3 linked regions of the Macaca mulatta genome follow. The protein of the gene in region 3 interacts with the protein of the main gene of each other region in a pairwise test. Links are inferred from orthologs where the notes say so. Each region holds a gene or a part of one and is shown on either strand. Other genes may lie near its edges.

Region 1 (4,682 bases), on a different chromosome or scaffold from region 3:
TAAGTTACTAACTGGAGGCAAGGTGACATCTAATGCAGGAAGTACCCACTTCGGACCAAGGTGGCTTGAGCTGGAGTCTACCACCTACTGGCTGTATGCTTCTCTCCTCATCTCTAACATGAGGCTTAAATTAAATAACAGATCTAGCACAGATCCTGGCACAAAGTAGGAGCTCAGTTAATACCAGTTTTCTCCCCTCTTTCCTTTTGTATCACTATCTGAGAACTCAGCTCTCCATCTCCCTCTTCTGACTCAGCTCCCCAAGGGGCAGGGGCAGGGCCAGAGTCTAGGGACCCCAAGCTCTCTTCTCCCTATCTACCCAGGCCTCTGCATCTACTCAGTCAGCAAACAGAATTCCTCTGCTGATAATAAGCCCCAGAGAAAGTGGCTGAGGGGCAGTCCAGGCTCTGTGAAGTGACCCAGGAGAGGAGGCAGGGGGAGAGAGGTGGGTAACTTCAGGCCCCGACATTGTATTCTCTCAAGTCAAACTAGATGAATCTGATCATCAGGCACATGTACAAAATCACCCTGGGGCCCTGTATAACCAGAACCCACTTTATGAGCATTGTGTCCATGTGTTCACAGAAACGTGGTTGAACCTGAGTACTTTGTGTGCTCCCAGCATCATTCTTGGTGCTAGACACATAGCGGGTGAGGAACAGGATAAGGTCTCTGCCCTTGCAGGGCTCAGTCTGCTCCTCCAGGAGGTGTGGGGTGCTTCTGCCCACCTCTGTTACAAAGGCTTAGAGGAGAGACGCAGGGCTTTTTAGAAAGCTGAGGACCCATCATGTATAGTTCAGCCCATCGGGCAAGGAACCTAGCTTCCTTACACAGACCCACAGAACTCCTCATCCCCAAACCATGAGCCCTCTCAGCCTCCCAGGGATTCAGTTTCAAGTAAGTTTCACATGGCCGTAACTTCCCTACCCAAGATACTATTTAAATTCCCTGTTTTGTCACTTGGTGGCTGGGTGAGCTTGGACGAGTCATTTAACATCCCCTAGCCCCAGTGTCCTCACCTGGAGCAGTGAGGTAAAGACACACCCCTCATGGCATTCTGTGAGGGGCATGCAAAGTCCCTTGTGGAAAGCCTCAGATGCACCGTGTTGCAAGGGGGCCAGTGATTCCCCCGCTGCACTCTGACACGAGGTCCCAAGCAGAGGGGAGCTGACCATGGAGGTCAAGAGCCTGCGGAGACCACAACCTGGGGCCGAGCACCAGCTGTGCAGCCTCTCTGTGCTAAAGTGTCCTCTACAAAACCAGGGTGGAAAGAATGACTCCTGCTTTGTAGAGCTGTGGGAGTCATGAGTTACTGTATGGGAAGGGGAACAGTGTTCAATACACAGTAAGAACCATGTGTTTATTTTCTTGCGGAAACACATTTATGGGGATAACCAATCATGTCGTAGCAGCTAGCACATGGTTATCCTTCCAAGATGATAAAGGACACAGGAATGCCTCCCTTACCTCCAAGCATAAAGATAGGTACATCTGCTGTGAACATAAACAGCCACCCACCAAACATGCATGCGCGCGCGCGCACAAACACACACACACACACACACACACACACACACACAATGGAATCATTGATGGCACAAACATGATAATGACAATGGTTTTCTCCATTAGGTCAAAAATTGCAAGACACAGTTGGAAGTAGGATCATACCCTGGCATTCACGGCTGTGTTGAGAGGCACGGGCACTGGAGTTAGAGTCATACAGACCTGGGTTTGAGTCCTAGCACCACTCCATCTTGGTAGAATGACCTTAGGCAAGTGACTTAACCTGAGTTCCCTCCCCCATAGAAGTGTTGGGGTAGGGGAGTGCAGGGGGATGGGCAACTCCACCTGCCTCACTAGCATGTCATTGTCCCTCTGTGGGGGCAACACAATCGTTGGCAAGTCCTGACTCCTTTGGACCCCCCAGCCTCACAGTCCCGGGAAGCTTCCTCCTTTTCCCTGCAAAAGACCCTGCTCAGACCAGCTTTACTTCCCTGCGCCACCCCGGCGAGCAGCCTGAAAAGTGTTAGGAAACAACAGCTGCTGAGTTCTGGGAGGCTGGAGCGCTGGCCAGGGGTCCCAGACCCCGGGCTGCTGTTTACTCAAACTGCAGAGCCTCTATAGCCTTTACAACTGTTTCCTGGGCAGGAGGGAGCAAGACAGCTGGGCCTCTCTCTGGCCTCTGGCTTCCACTGGCTTTTCCTCTGGAAAAAGCCAGTCCAAATGCTGCTCACTCTAGGAATCGCTTCAACTCGGAGCCCTGGAGGAGAGCAGGGCCAGGCATGAGCCGGGCACATACACCCCCTCTAGGGAGCGGGGAACTGCACAGGCCAGGGGAAGCTGGAGACAAAAGAGGAGACAGGGACAGAGATAAAAACAGGGGCTGTGACCAGAACATAGGATGGGAAGGGCAGGGACAGAAATAGGGGCAGGGTTAAGGATCTAGACAGGTCATGCCGCCCAGGTTCAAGGCAGAGGGGCGTAGGGGGACAGAGAGAGAGAGACATGGGAAGCACAGAGGGGAGAAAGCCCTGCCTAGCAGACTTGCCTAAGCTGAAGACCCCATTGTTGCCACAAACGGGCCCACAGGAAAGCTACGGGTTGCAATCGCCTGTCACGACCCACATTTTCACCCTGAGCTGTGCACACTTTCCAACAGCAAGCAAAAGGAGCACAATCTAGTTAAGTTAGGACTGGCAAGATTCACTTCTGATTTAAAACTTAAGACAGCAACAATAAAGATACTCAGCTGAAATGCCACCCAAGAAAGCCAGCTCCCCTGGAAAGTTAAAGTTTAGCGCCCCCATCCCAGCACCCTGTACCTTTAAGGAGGAGAAGATTCCCTCTGCTTCCCAGCCGAAGAGGCAGGTTATTCTAGGATATAGGGGAGGCTTACCTAAAACTGAGTTATTCTCCTTTCCTCCTCTGGCCAGCCTCCCTTCACTCTGGGGAGCTTTTACCATTTAAGGTCAATGTTACATCTGGCTCCGGAGCTCGGAGCCGAGAAGCCTCTGGCTGTAGAACCTCGGCCGCACGCCTCCTCTGAGAGGGGCTGGGACTTAGAGCCGAGAGCTCCTCTGGGAGCCCCCTCCGGCCTGGCTCGGGGCATAATGGCAGGGAAAGCCGACCAGCTGGCCTCAGGGTTCAGGGCAGGCTGGGCCTTTGGGGCAGTCGCTCACCCTGGGCCCTTCCGATGGGTATCCACACAGCAGATGGCAGTCCCCATGGCAACTCATGCCACTGGACACTGTCCTGGCTGGACGGGGACAAAGGGACCCTGCAGATCTCGCCACCCGCCTGGAGCCTCCAGCAAGCATGTGAGCCTGGAGAAGACCCTGGGCCAGCGCCAAAAGAAACTGGGAATGGTTCCTGTCCTGGGGATTTGGGGGCAGGGGCTGCTTCCACTGCGTTAAACTCTTGGGATTGCCAGAGAGAATGGCCTGGGAGATTCAGCTACTCCCAGACTTACCAGACTTGGCACAGGCCCCAGGGGTGTCAACCCTGCTCCTCCACTTAACAGCCTGTGGTCTTAACATCGTGGAGCCTCAGTCTCCTCATCTCTAAAGTGGGAATAATAATGATAATGCCTAACTCACTGGGTAGTCAGGGGATTAAATGAGATATTAGTCAAGTGTTTAACACACTGCCAGCATCTCATAGAGCTAGATCAGCACGAATGAGCTTCCTGCCCCTGCCCAGGAAATCCACACCCTGTCCATACACACTCTTCACCTGCCTTGGGTATAGGACCCGCCCAAGACCAGGGTCATGGAACTCCAAGCTGGCGGCAAGCTACATGGGGACTTCAGCCCCTTCTGTGGTTAGAGCGGCACAGAGAAACCCTAGGTAAAGTTGCTAGATAAATTACAGGACACCCATTTAAATTTGGATTTCAGATAAACATGGGACATACTTGTACTAAAAGACTGTTATTTATCTGAAATTCAAATTTAACTAGTCATCCTCTATTTTTGTTTGATAAATCCCGGAACCCTAGTTTTGGCCATCATTAGCCATCTAGAAAACATTCAGTATTCATGGTAGAGAGCACTAGGGATTGGAGCTCCAAGGCCTATGGCCTCAAGCCCTCCTGGCAAACACAGTCCTTATGCTCAGCTCCTGGCCACAGATCAGTGGTGCAGCAGTGGCAGACGTTCTCCACTGAGCCTGGCCCACTGAGCCTCCATCCCTTCCTCAGGCATGTGGTTCTGAGGAAGTCCTGTTTTTTCTGTGTAGTTGTTGTAAGAGAGATCACTAACAGGGGTGTAGCGCATGAAGTCTGCTACCCTCATCAATAATTGTTTTTCGTAAATGAAACCAGAGCAGGCTGTCTTAGGTAGTAGCCAAGCTTTCTCTCAAGTGTCCACACCTGTCCACGTGGAGGTGCAGGCTCCCCACACAACCCCCGTCCCCTGCAAAGCCACATGGCAGTAACTACTAGAATTGCAAGTATATGGTATAGAAGGAACCGACCAAACTCTTCAGTGCTGTTTCTCCAACTTCAATGTGCATTAGAACCCCCAGTTTTGAAGCTCCTTGGGCTCCTCTTTCAGAAATTCTAATTCTATGGATCTGAAATGGACCCAGAAATCTGCATTTTAGTGAAGACCCTTGGGTGATTCTTATGCACTTGGTCCAAGGATCCCACTTTAGGGAATGTTGCTTCAAAGGTTGATCTT
Region 2 (4,820 bases), on a different chromosome or scaffold from region 3:
GAGAGCAGCCGCATTGAACAGCTGCTTAGAACAGAGCGAGCAGGGGTAGACACCTGTCTGGTGGCTCTTTCGATGGTTGATGAGGCTCCCGGCATGGCGGTAAGTACGGCCACAGTCCCCACAGCGGAAAGGCCGGTATTCCTCCAGGCCACTGTCCTCCAGCTCCCCAGAGGTGCTAAGCTCTGCACAGCCATTCAGCATCTGTGCACTGGGGAGCTGGTCCCGGCTGCTCTCGTCTGTGCGCCCATTGGTGGTGGGCATCCCTTTCTCCTCCCAGGGTGGCTCCTGCCTTTCACCCTCATGGGACTGCTGGTGTTCCAGCAGCTCCCGGGGGAGCCGGAAGGCACGGGGGCAGTGGGGACAGTGGTAAGGCCGATACTGGGCATGCAGTCGAGAGTGGTTCTTCAGAGCCATGAGGTTAGAGAACTCCTTGAAGCAGATGGCACAGGGGTAGATGCCCAGCGTGTGGCTCTGGCGGTGGTTAGTGAGGCTCCCGGCGTGCTTGTAGGTCTTGCCACACTGACTACATTTGTACCGCCGCTCCTCCTCGGCAGGAGGGGACTGGGTGGGCTCCTGGCCCGCTGTGAAGTTCACTACTGATTCAGCCAGATACTGTTCCAAGTTGCTAAGAAGGCTGCTGGCTGGGGTGGGGAGAGGAGGGGCTCTGGCAGAGTTGGTGGAGGGTCCCCAGCCGTCTGCAGCATCCTCAGAATCTGGTTGGCTTGCCAAGCCTTCTCTTTGTCTGGTGGGCAGATCTTCCCACGTACCCGAAGCTGCCCTGGAGTCCGGTACAGATTCACAGTCAGGTGTCTCTTCCGTATGTTTTGTCTGGTTTTCCCAGCCTTCACCAGAGCTAAGCCTTTGGCCCCAGGAGTCAGTGGACACCGTCTCACCCTGGAGGCGTGGAGTGGCTTCCTTGGGGCGTGGGGGCCTGTGCCTGCGGCGGCCCTCAGGAGCATGAGTCCTCATGTGGCTCTTGAGAGCCATGGGATTGGAGAAGTCCTTTCCACAGGTGGTACAGGGGAAAAGGCCAGTCTCGTGGGTCCGACGATGGTTGACCAGGCTCCCGGGGTGACGGTAGCCCCGCCCACACTGCTGACAACGGTAGGGCCGAGGGATGCTGTCAGCCTCCTCACTGTCCTTGTTGGAAGATGGATGGAGCAGTTCTCGGTGCCGAGACAGCTCTGGGAGGCTGGGAAAGTGGCGCTGACAGTCAGAACAGCTGAGTGAGGGGGGTGCGTCCTCCATGGGGCAATGTAGCAGAAACCTGGAGGTTCAGAAGGAGCAGACACGTGGCAGCACCTTCCTCTGGTGGAGGGGCCGAGGCCTAGGAAGAGGGGGCAGTGGTCAAAAGGAAGGCCTGAATTAACTTCGCCTCTTGGCTATACGAGCAACAAGTTCATCTGAGGTCACTGAGAGTTTCCCCAAGCATCTGTGCCCAGGGACCTGCTTTCTACTAGATCTAATCTGCAGGCACCATCATTTAAGGCCTCCCTGTGCACAAGCTCCCCAAATATAGGAGCTCCCCTAGGCTTAAGTCATTCCTACAGGTATAGCTAAGGAAATTAAAGTCGAGAGAGATGCAACCTACTTCTGATCACAGACCTGTTATCATGTTCTTCAGACCAGACTCCAAAGGCATTACTGTCCTTTAAGGACAGTAGGACTCTGCTCCCTACAATCCTGAAACAAAAATTTTCTGTGACATCTTAAAAGGACACCAGAACCTTTTCTAGGCCTTTCAATAAGAGAAGTCCAAACCTTCCTCCTTCATCTCTCAGCTAAACAGAGTAGCTGAGAAGCACTGAAAAAGCAGCTGTTTCCTCCAGCTAATAGCTGAGGACCTGAGAGGACAGGTTAGAGGCCTCCTTCAGGGAAAGGGCTGGCTTGTTCCCCTGCTTCCCTGAGTCCTTTCAGTGTCACAAGGTCTCTTTTCCTTGTGACAAGAGAGTTAAGAGAGTTAAGACTCTCTTAACTGGGCCAGGCATGGTGGCTCACGCCTGTAATCCCAGCACTTTGGGAGGGTGAGGCTGGCGTATCACCTGAGTTCAGGAGTTCAAGACCAGCCTGGCCAACACGGTGAAACCCTGTCTCTACTAAAAATACAAAAGTTAGCCGGATGTGGTGGCAGGTGCCTGTAATTCTAGCTACTCGGGAGGTTGAAGCTGAAGAACTGCTTGAACCTGTGAGGTGGAGGTTGCAGTGAGCTGAGATCCCACCACGGCACTCCAGCCTGGGTGACAGAGCGAGACGCCATCTCAAAAAACAAACAAACAAAAACCCCAAAAGACTCTCTTAGCGACTTCCTTTATCTACTTCCCTTGAACCCAAACTATCTTCCATCTTGTGAATAACATCAATATCAGGTTGTAATGTCACTTCATCACCTACCTTTTCTCTCCCATGCCTCCTGATCTTACCTTCACCAGCCCTTCTCATTTTTTTCTTCTGCCTCCTCTCTTAATACTGATGATGACAGCAACTCATGAAGAGTATTATATTACCATGTGCCGGGCACTGTGCTAACTATATTCATTGTGTCACTCAATCTTCAGAACACACGGCAATGCCTGTTATCCTAGTTCACGTAAGAGTAAACCCACTAACTGAGGCGGTCTTCATCCCAAAGCCCTTGCTCGCTCATGCCTCGTATATCCTCTCGTCCTTCTCCAACTCTTCTTCCCATGGGAGGGACCCCAATACAACTGTCTCCCATCGTAAACGCCTTCACTGAACCTGCCCCCGGAATTCTCACCTCACAAAGCCCCTTTGATCAAAAGTCCCCTCCCCTAGTCAACCACCAATGAGTCCTCTGACCTCACTCATCTCCTCTGCCAATTTCCTTTCAGGACGCCTACCTCGCACCGGCGGCCCCCTCTCCTTCCCGCCGCGGGCGCGTCAGTTGGGGACCGCGAACGGGAGCGCGCCTGCGCACTGGGACCCTTACCCTAACTGCAGCCGCGCGCCCCAAGGGGTGGCTGTCGGGGGGCTCTCGCGCTCCCACAAACGCACACTCAGCCAGGGTTCCCAGGAGGTGGGAGGGGAGGGAAAGAGGGAAAGGAGAAGGGGGGGAAAGGAAGGAGGTAGAGAAAAGAGGGCGCAGCTGGCATGAGCCAGGAGTCTACCCCCAGCTCTGCGGACACTTCCTATTGTTACTAGGAAACAGGAAGTGTCCTTAGGTACAAAAGCTTCCCCGCGAAACTTCCGCTTTGGGAGCCCTGCCTGTCCCGCCTCCAAGCCTCCGTTTTACGCAGACACACTTCCGGCGCTAGGTTCTGGCCCTGCACTACTGACTCCGCCCACGGAGGTCACAACGAGGTGTCTTTGAGCGCTGCGCTAGCCACACTTCCGGCAAGAGCAGCTAGAATCGTTCCGGTGCATATTGAATAGGCGCAGAAGAGAGAGAAAAAGATTCTGCAACCCTGGCCACAGTACTTTGGTGACACTTTTCGTGGGGCTCCCTGGAAGACTTTTCCTAAGGAAGATGGAGAAAACTTCGTGAAATCCACTCGTTGCTATTAAAGGAAATGTTGTGGAATATAAGCGGACTTAGGTTCTGCAGAGCTTGAGCATGGCCTTTTTGTCCTCCCACCTTCTGGTTCTTGAAGACATTGCCGGTGACCTGGCCCCAGACTAACACGAGGCCGGCGTATACTGTCAGCCTGCCCTGCGTTCCCTTGCCTCAGCACCCACAGAGACCTCCTGCAAGATGCTTCTCTGCCGCCATAGGCTGGAGGTTCCCCGGGAACTTTCCCTTCCTTCCTAGCTGAGGAAGGTCCCTCACTTCCGCTCGCCGGGCCACCGGTCCCGCCTCCCCGCCCCCCGCTGGGTCCTAGCGCCGGCCCCTCTTTGGCAGGATCCGGGCTCCGTCAGTGCGAGGAGCCGACGCCGACAGCACTGGGTCAGCCCAAGTCTCATCAGGTAGGAAACGCCGGCGGGAAGCCGCGAGGGCCCCGGGCAGACCCCACGCGGCCGCAATCCGAGCTGGCCTCAGTTTCCCTGCGGGCGCCGAGGGCGGACTGGGTTGGTCCAGCGCGAGCAGCGCGGGCGGGGCGGGCGGTGAGCGGCCCTGGGCGCATTGCGGGCCCAGCAGGTCCTAGAACCCGCCGACTGTCTCCGCGGTTCTGGGCTGCGGACGGACACCCAGGCTCGGCCCGCGCGGCTGCCGTGCCGGCTCGGTGCGGGCCCGGGGGTCCTAGAGCCCGCCATGTTGCGGGCTTTTGTCCCGGCCGCGCGGCCCGCGCTGCAAGGTCCCCGGCGCCGGCGGCCCCCTCCCCGGCCGAGGCCGGGCCACCACTCTCGCGGTCCTAGAGAACGCCATCTTGCAAGCCTTTGTCCCGCATTCGGCCCTCCGTCCATTCATTTGTTCATCCCCGCATCCTTCGTTCAGTCCTGGTTGCTACGTCCCCCGAGGCCACGTTTTCCGAGGCTCAAAACGACACAAGTCAACCCAGGGTCCTGCCCTCCAGGGACTGCCTGGCTGGCGGGGGTGCAGCGTACAGACGGTTGCGAGGAGCGAGGAGCTCCGGGTTTCTGCAACTCTCGGCTCCTCGGCGCGCTTCGTAGGCCCCACCGCCCTTCAAACTCCCACAAACTTCAGGGACCCCATTTTAGTGATGAGGAAACTGAGGCCCAGAGCGGCGTGGGGCCCTTACCTCTCTCCTGCCATTAAGTATTCCTGAGGGCACTGGGGAAGGGGGTTCTTGAAGAATGTAAAGGGGCTTTCCCGTTGGAGAAGGCAGGCAAGGGCTCCCGAGCCCAGGAAACTGCATCTAGAGGCGGAGGGTTGAGAATTGTGGCTGGAGGTTCGGTCGCTGCCG
Region 3 (4,047 bases):
GCTCTCCATTGAGAAGGGATTGAATTCATAGCAGTGTATCTAAAGCTATATTTTAATTATCTGTACACAGATGCTTACACTTTAAGGTAAATAATCTCTTCAAGTGAAAGAAACATGCTTCTATTGATAGGTAAACATACTTAATTAAGGGCAAAGAAGAAAGGACCTTCAAGGCAATACTTTAATCCCTTTGCAAATACATACGATTATAGAATTTTAGCTCTGCCAAGGATATCTTCAAGTCGGAGGAAAATTGTACCATGAAGTATATCATTCATTTCCTCATACGGATGCCATTCTCAAACTTCCTCTTGTGCTCATAAATTCGCAATTGTGCCATTCAGATATTATTCAAGAAAGATTCAAGAATCATGGTAATTATAGTTAAGATTCTAGAATCTAGAGGAATGGATATCATTATGCCTAGAATTAATTATGTTTCAGAAGAATGATATTTTTCTTAGGAAAAGCTGATTATTTCAGTGAAACTCAAGTTACATTAGTAGCTGAACCAAAGACATTCTCTTTCTGGAAGATACTACCTTTTTCTGAAAGATAGCCTGAAAAGTGGTTGCTTTAGCCTTGATTCACTTATAAATTTTGTAAAAATGTGACCATATTTCATTGCCCAGTTTGTTAAACTTTACTGTACAACTTTGGGAAAAAAAAAAAAGTGTCACCAAAATGCAAATAGGCATCAGAGACTCATGAAAGCAAGCTCTGAGACTATCATTTGTTGCACACTATTAATAAAATCATTTGTGTGCTTGTCACTCATGTTACTTCTCAACCACCTCAGGAGCTGATGTTCACACTAATATTTTTAAATTATGAAATGAAATTATTAAATTGTGCTTACTACTTAGGAAAGAAAAAAAGAACATGGTTTATTTAAAAAGTACCATGGTGGGGGAAGAGTTAAAATTTAAACTTTCTGCCCTAGAAAGAAGGGTTTAACCTTAGATACTAAGGTTTTTTGTAAATTATTTCATTCAATCAATCAACATGTATGTGCCCATATATCACATATATATGAGACAGAAAGAGAGAGCCTTCTTGCTAAACATCACAATCAAGATTACTAATAAAACATTCCCTTCTAGTTACTTTTTTCTTTCTAATTGTCTTTTAGTCCATCTTTTCCTCTTAATAAGAATGCCGTCGTGTAGGAGATAGATATTGTTTGTTTTGGTTGCAGGAGTTTCAAAAACAGAAGAGTACTTAGTTTGCATTATGATTGCATCAGTAGCATTACAACTCATTTCCAGAGTGGTTCTTTGAAAACAGTAGCTTTTATTCACATTTTCATGAACAGTATGTGGATTGTTTAGAAAGATTAAAAAACAGGCCCTCTGAGAATAAATATGAATAACCCATAAACTTCTCCTTTAAAAAACAAATGCTTGGTAAGCAAGTTCTAAAATAGGATTGTTTTTTTCTCCTGCCTACTGCTATAAGTCTGTGCCTTTTTAGATTGTAGTGGGCTGTTGAGAAGAAAACACTAAGTACATGAAATATGTTGTGTGTTTAACTGCCCTTTCAGCCCTTTCAGGAAGTGAAATTTAACTATTCCATTCATAAAGACAGAGAATTCCTTAACTTAATCCTTGAATGCTTCAAAAAATCCAATGTAATGGCAATCATGTAACATTTAGCTATTAGGACAGTGGTCTCTGGGTTAAATTTTGACAAACGAATATAGTGAAATGAGAAAAAAAAATAAAGCCATATTAGAGAAACTAATTTTTCGTACAATTTTCATTCCTTTTCTGTATCTCAGAGGTTCGTTTGAAGATTCTACAACCAGATTTTACACAGCATGTGTGGTAGAAGCTTTTGCCTATCTGCATTCCAAAGGAATCATTTACAGGGACCTCAAGCCAGAAAATCTCATCCTAGATCACCGAGGTTATGCCAAACTGGTCAGTGCATTTCACACATGCTTTCTGCCCTGCAGATTTAAAATATTTGTTTATAAAACTGTGTTCATTTGCTAATATGAAATCTCAGTTTTCCTTTTCCATGTTGTAACTTTCTTAAAAGCAGGTTTTAGCATTACAATTTTCAACTGAATGTTCTTTCAAATGATGCATCAGTTATGAAAAATTAAGTTGGCTAAGTTTGAATTAACAATACTCTGGCAAAACACACTTTTATAAGCACGAGAAAACGTACTTACTGGCACGTGTACAGGCCTAGAAGTCCTTTTCTCTAGTCGGCTTTTTGCCATTCACGAGCAATGGGTTTTTATATTATGGAAAACTCTAAATCGTTTCCATATTTTAGATTTAAGAATAATGGTCACAGAAAAAAAAAAATGTGCTTTACAAGCAATGCTAGCCAGGCTATGTAATAGTAATAATAATAACAGTCAAAAGTTGTAAAGATTTACCATAGAAGAGAAGTTCTCTTATTTACAAATGCACAACTTTCGTTGGATCTGTTACAGCTTGATTCCATTTTTAAACTTTTTAGAATTGTTATTCAGCATGTGGTTTTTAAAGAAATCAAATCAGTGGCAGTTTTTTATTTGTAGTTTCAACCAAATCGTTTTAGAAAAAATAGATTTTCTGCAGTCAAGACTCTTCCTTCAAAAGAGTTCCAGAAAAATGAAGAATACATTATACTTTTATTTCTGTTTATGCTTACCAAGGGCAGAGTCACCAGTCTCATAACTATGTTACTTACTTCCTGCAACAATAAAATAACTTCAAATAATTAATACTAAATGAATTGTCAACTTCATTAAATCCAGCAGAAACCATTTATATTCTGGGAAAGATGTTAAGTAGGCCCAAGTGGTCTTTAAAAATTTTTATGTACAGAAGAGATTCTGTGTTTATACCCTAACCTCCATTAGCATAAACAAAGGAAAAATGAAAACTATATTCAGAAAGAAAGATTTACCTTTATTTTTAATGATGTGAATTTTATGCTATACTCAGATGTCAACTTTTCCAATTAAAACTGAGTTTCGTCAGGGAGACTTTGTTTGCAATACAGACTATTCCTTTGAGAAGATAGAACTATAAAAACGTGCATGTTTTTAAATTATTATGATCATCGGTGTACTTCAGCAAAACAATTTATTACTTTAAAACGTAATCATAAGAAGCTTAAGTATCTTGCTTTTCTCTCTTTGAAAGGTTGATTTTGGCTTTGCAAAGAAAATAGGATTTGGAAAGAAAACATGGACTTTTTGTGGGACTCCAGAGTATGTAGCCCCAGAGATCATCCTGAACAAAGGCCATGACATTTCAGCCGACTACTGGTCACTGGGAATCCTAATGTATGAACTCCTGACTGGCAGGTATGGATATTGATAGGGAACTGCTGATAAAAATAGACCGGCAAACAGCTACACACTCCCGCTTTTGTCACTCTGATTAAACCATCTTAAAGTACATTTCACCATATCTTGGTACCACAGTTCAATTAGTTATACGAATGACCGGGAAAAGTAACGTATAAAATAGGTCAAGCTAGGGCAACCACCTCAGCACCAACTTTTGGTCTCATTATTGCTACTTTTTTTTTTTTACATATATGAATGTGGAAGGATATAATGTCTTTCCGTGAGATATTTTAGCCCAGTCATTTAGCCAGGAATGAAACAGGGGAGATGATAATCATATGAAAATATCTAGGGTCAATTCTCTATAGAAGTAAGAGGACCTGTTAGCAACTGTTATATCTAAATGAAAGGTGACTGCTTTGTAGATCTTTCCTGTGATGTTATAATCATAAACTCAAATAGGCACTAGGGACACCGCAAGGTATAAAGCAGACTTTAAGATCCTCAAGGACCCATACTAAAAGAACAACAAATACACTACCATGACATGTGCTAAAACAATGAGTGACAGGGGCGTTATACAGATTTCAGAATAGGGCTGGGTTCCTAAAGAGGCTGTTGAAGAATGAATATAAGGCAGCTGTGTCTTGAAGGAAGAATAGGACTTAGATGTAGAGACCAGGAAAAGGGTATTCTAGGCAAACAGGCATGGCTTAAAGAGAAAGGCAATAATGGTCACAGATATGGAGAAG

The links. The genes of interacting proteins can lie anywhere in the genome.
Region 1: the proteins of PRKG1 (region 3) and IRAG1 interact in a two-hybrid assay, tested with the Homo sapiens proteins (2 studies listed by BioGRID). The link is inferred for Macaca mulatta from reciprocal best matches to the Homo sapiens genes PRKG1 and IRAG1.
Region 2: the proteins of PRKG1 (region 3) and ZNF646 interact in binary tests that used the Homo sapiens proteins (3 or more experiments, as listed by UniProt). The two-hybrid records come from large-scale screens. The link is inferred for Macaca mulatta from reciprocal best matches to the Homo sapiens genes PRKG1 and ZNF646.

What each region holds. Positions count from the first base shown.
Region 1 is NC_133419.1:54,820,241-54,824,922, reverse strand, and holds the start of IRAG1 (inositol 1,4,5-triphosphate receptor associated 1), read right to left. Parts: upstream 3,177-4,682; 5' UTR 2,967-3,176; coding exon 2,900-2,966; coding exon of another isoform or gene 2,826-2,899; intron 1-2,825.
Region 2 is NC_133425.1:29,711,052-29,715,871, reverse strand, and holds the start of ZNF646 (zinc finger protein 646), read right to left. Parts: upstream 3,177-4,820; 5' UTR 2,818-3,176; intron 1,328-2,817; 5' UTR 1,249-1,327; coding exon 1-1,248. UniProt on the Homo sapiens protein: May be involved in transcriptional regulation.
Region 3 is NC_133414.1:97,474,969-97,479,015, reverse strand, and holds part of PRKG1 (cGMP-dependent protein kinase 1), read left to right. Parts: intron 1-1,780; coding exon 1,781-1,922; intron 1,923-3,146; coding exon 3,147-3,310; intron 3,311-4,047. UniProt on the Homo sapiens protein: Serine/threonine protein kinase that acts as a key mediator of the nitric oxide (NO)/cGMP signaling pathway. GMP binding activates PRKG1, which phosphorylates serines and threonines on many cellular proteins.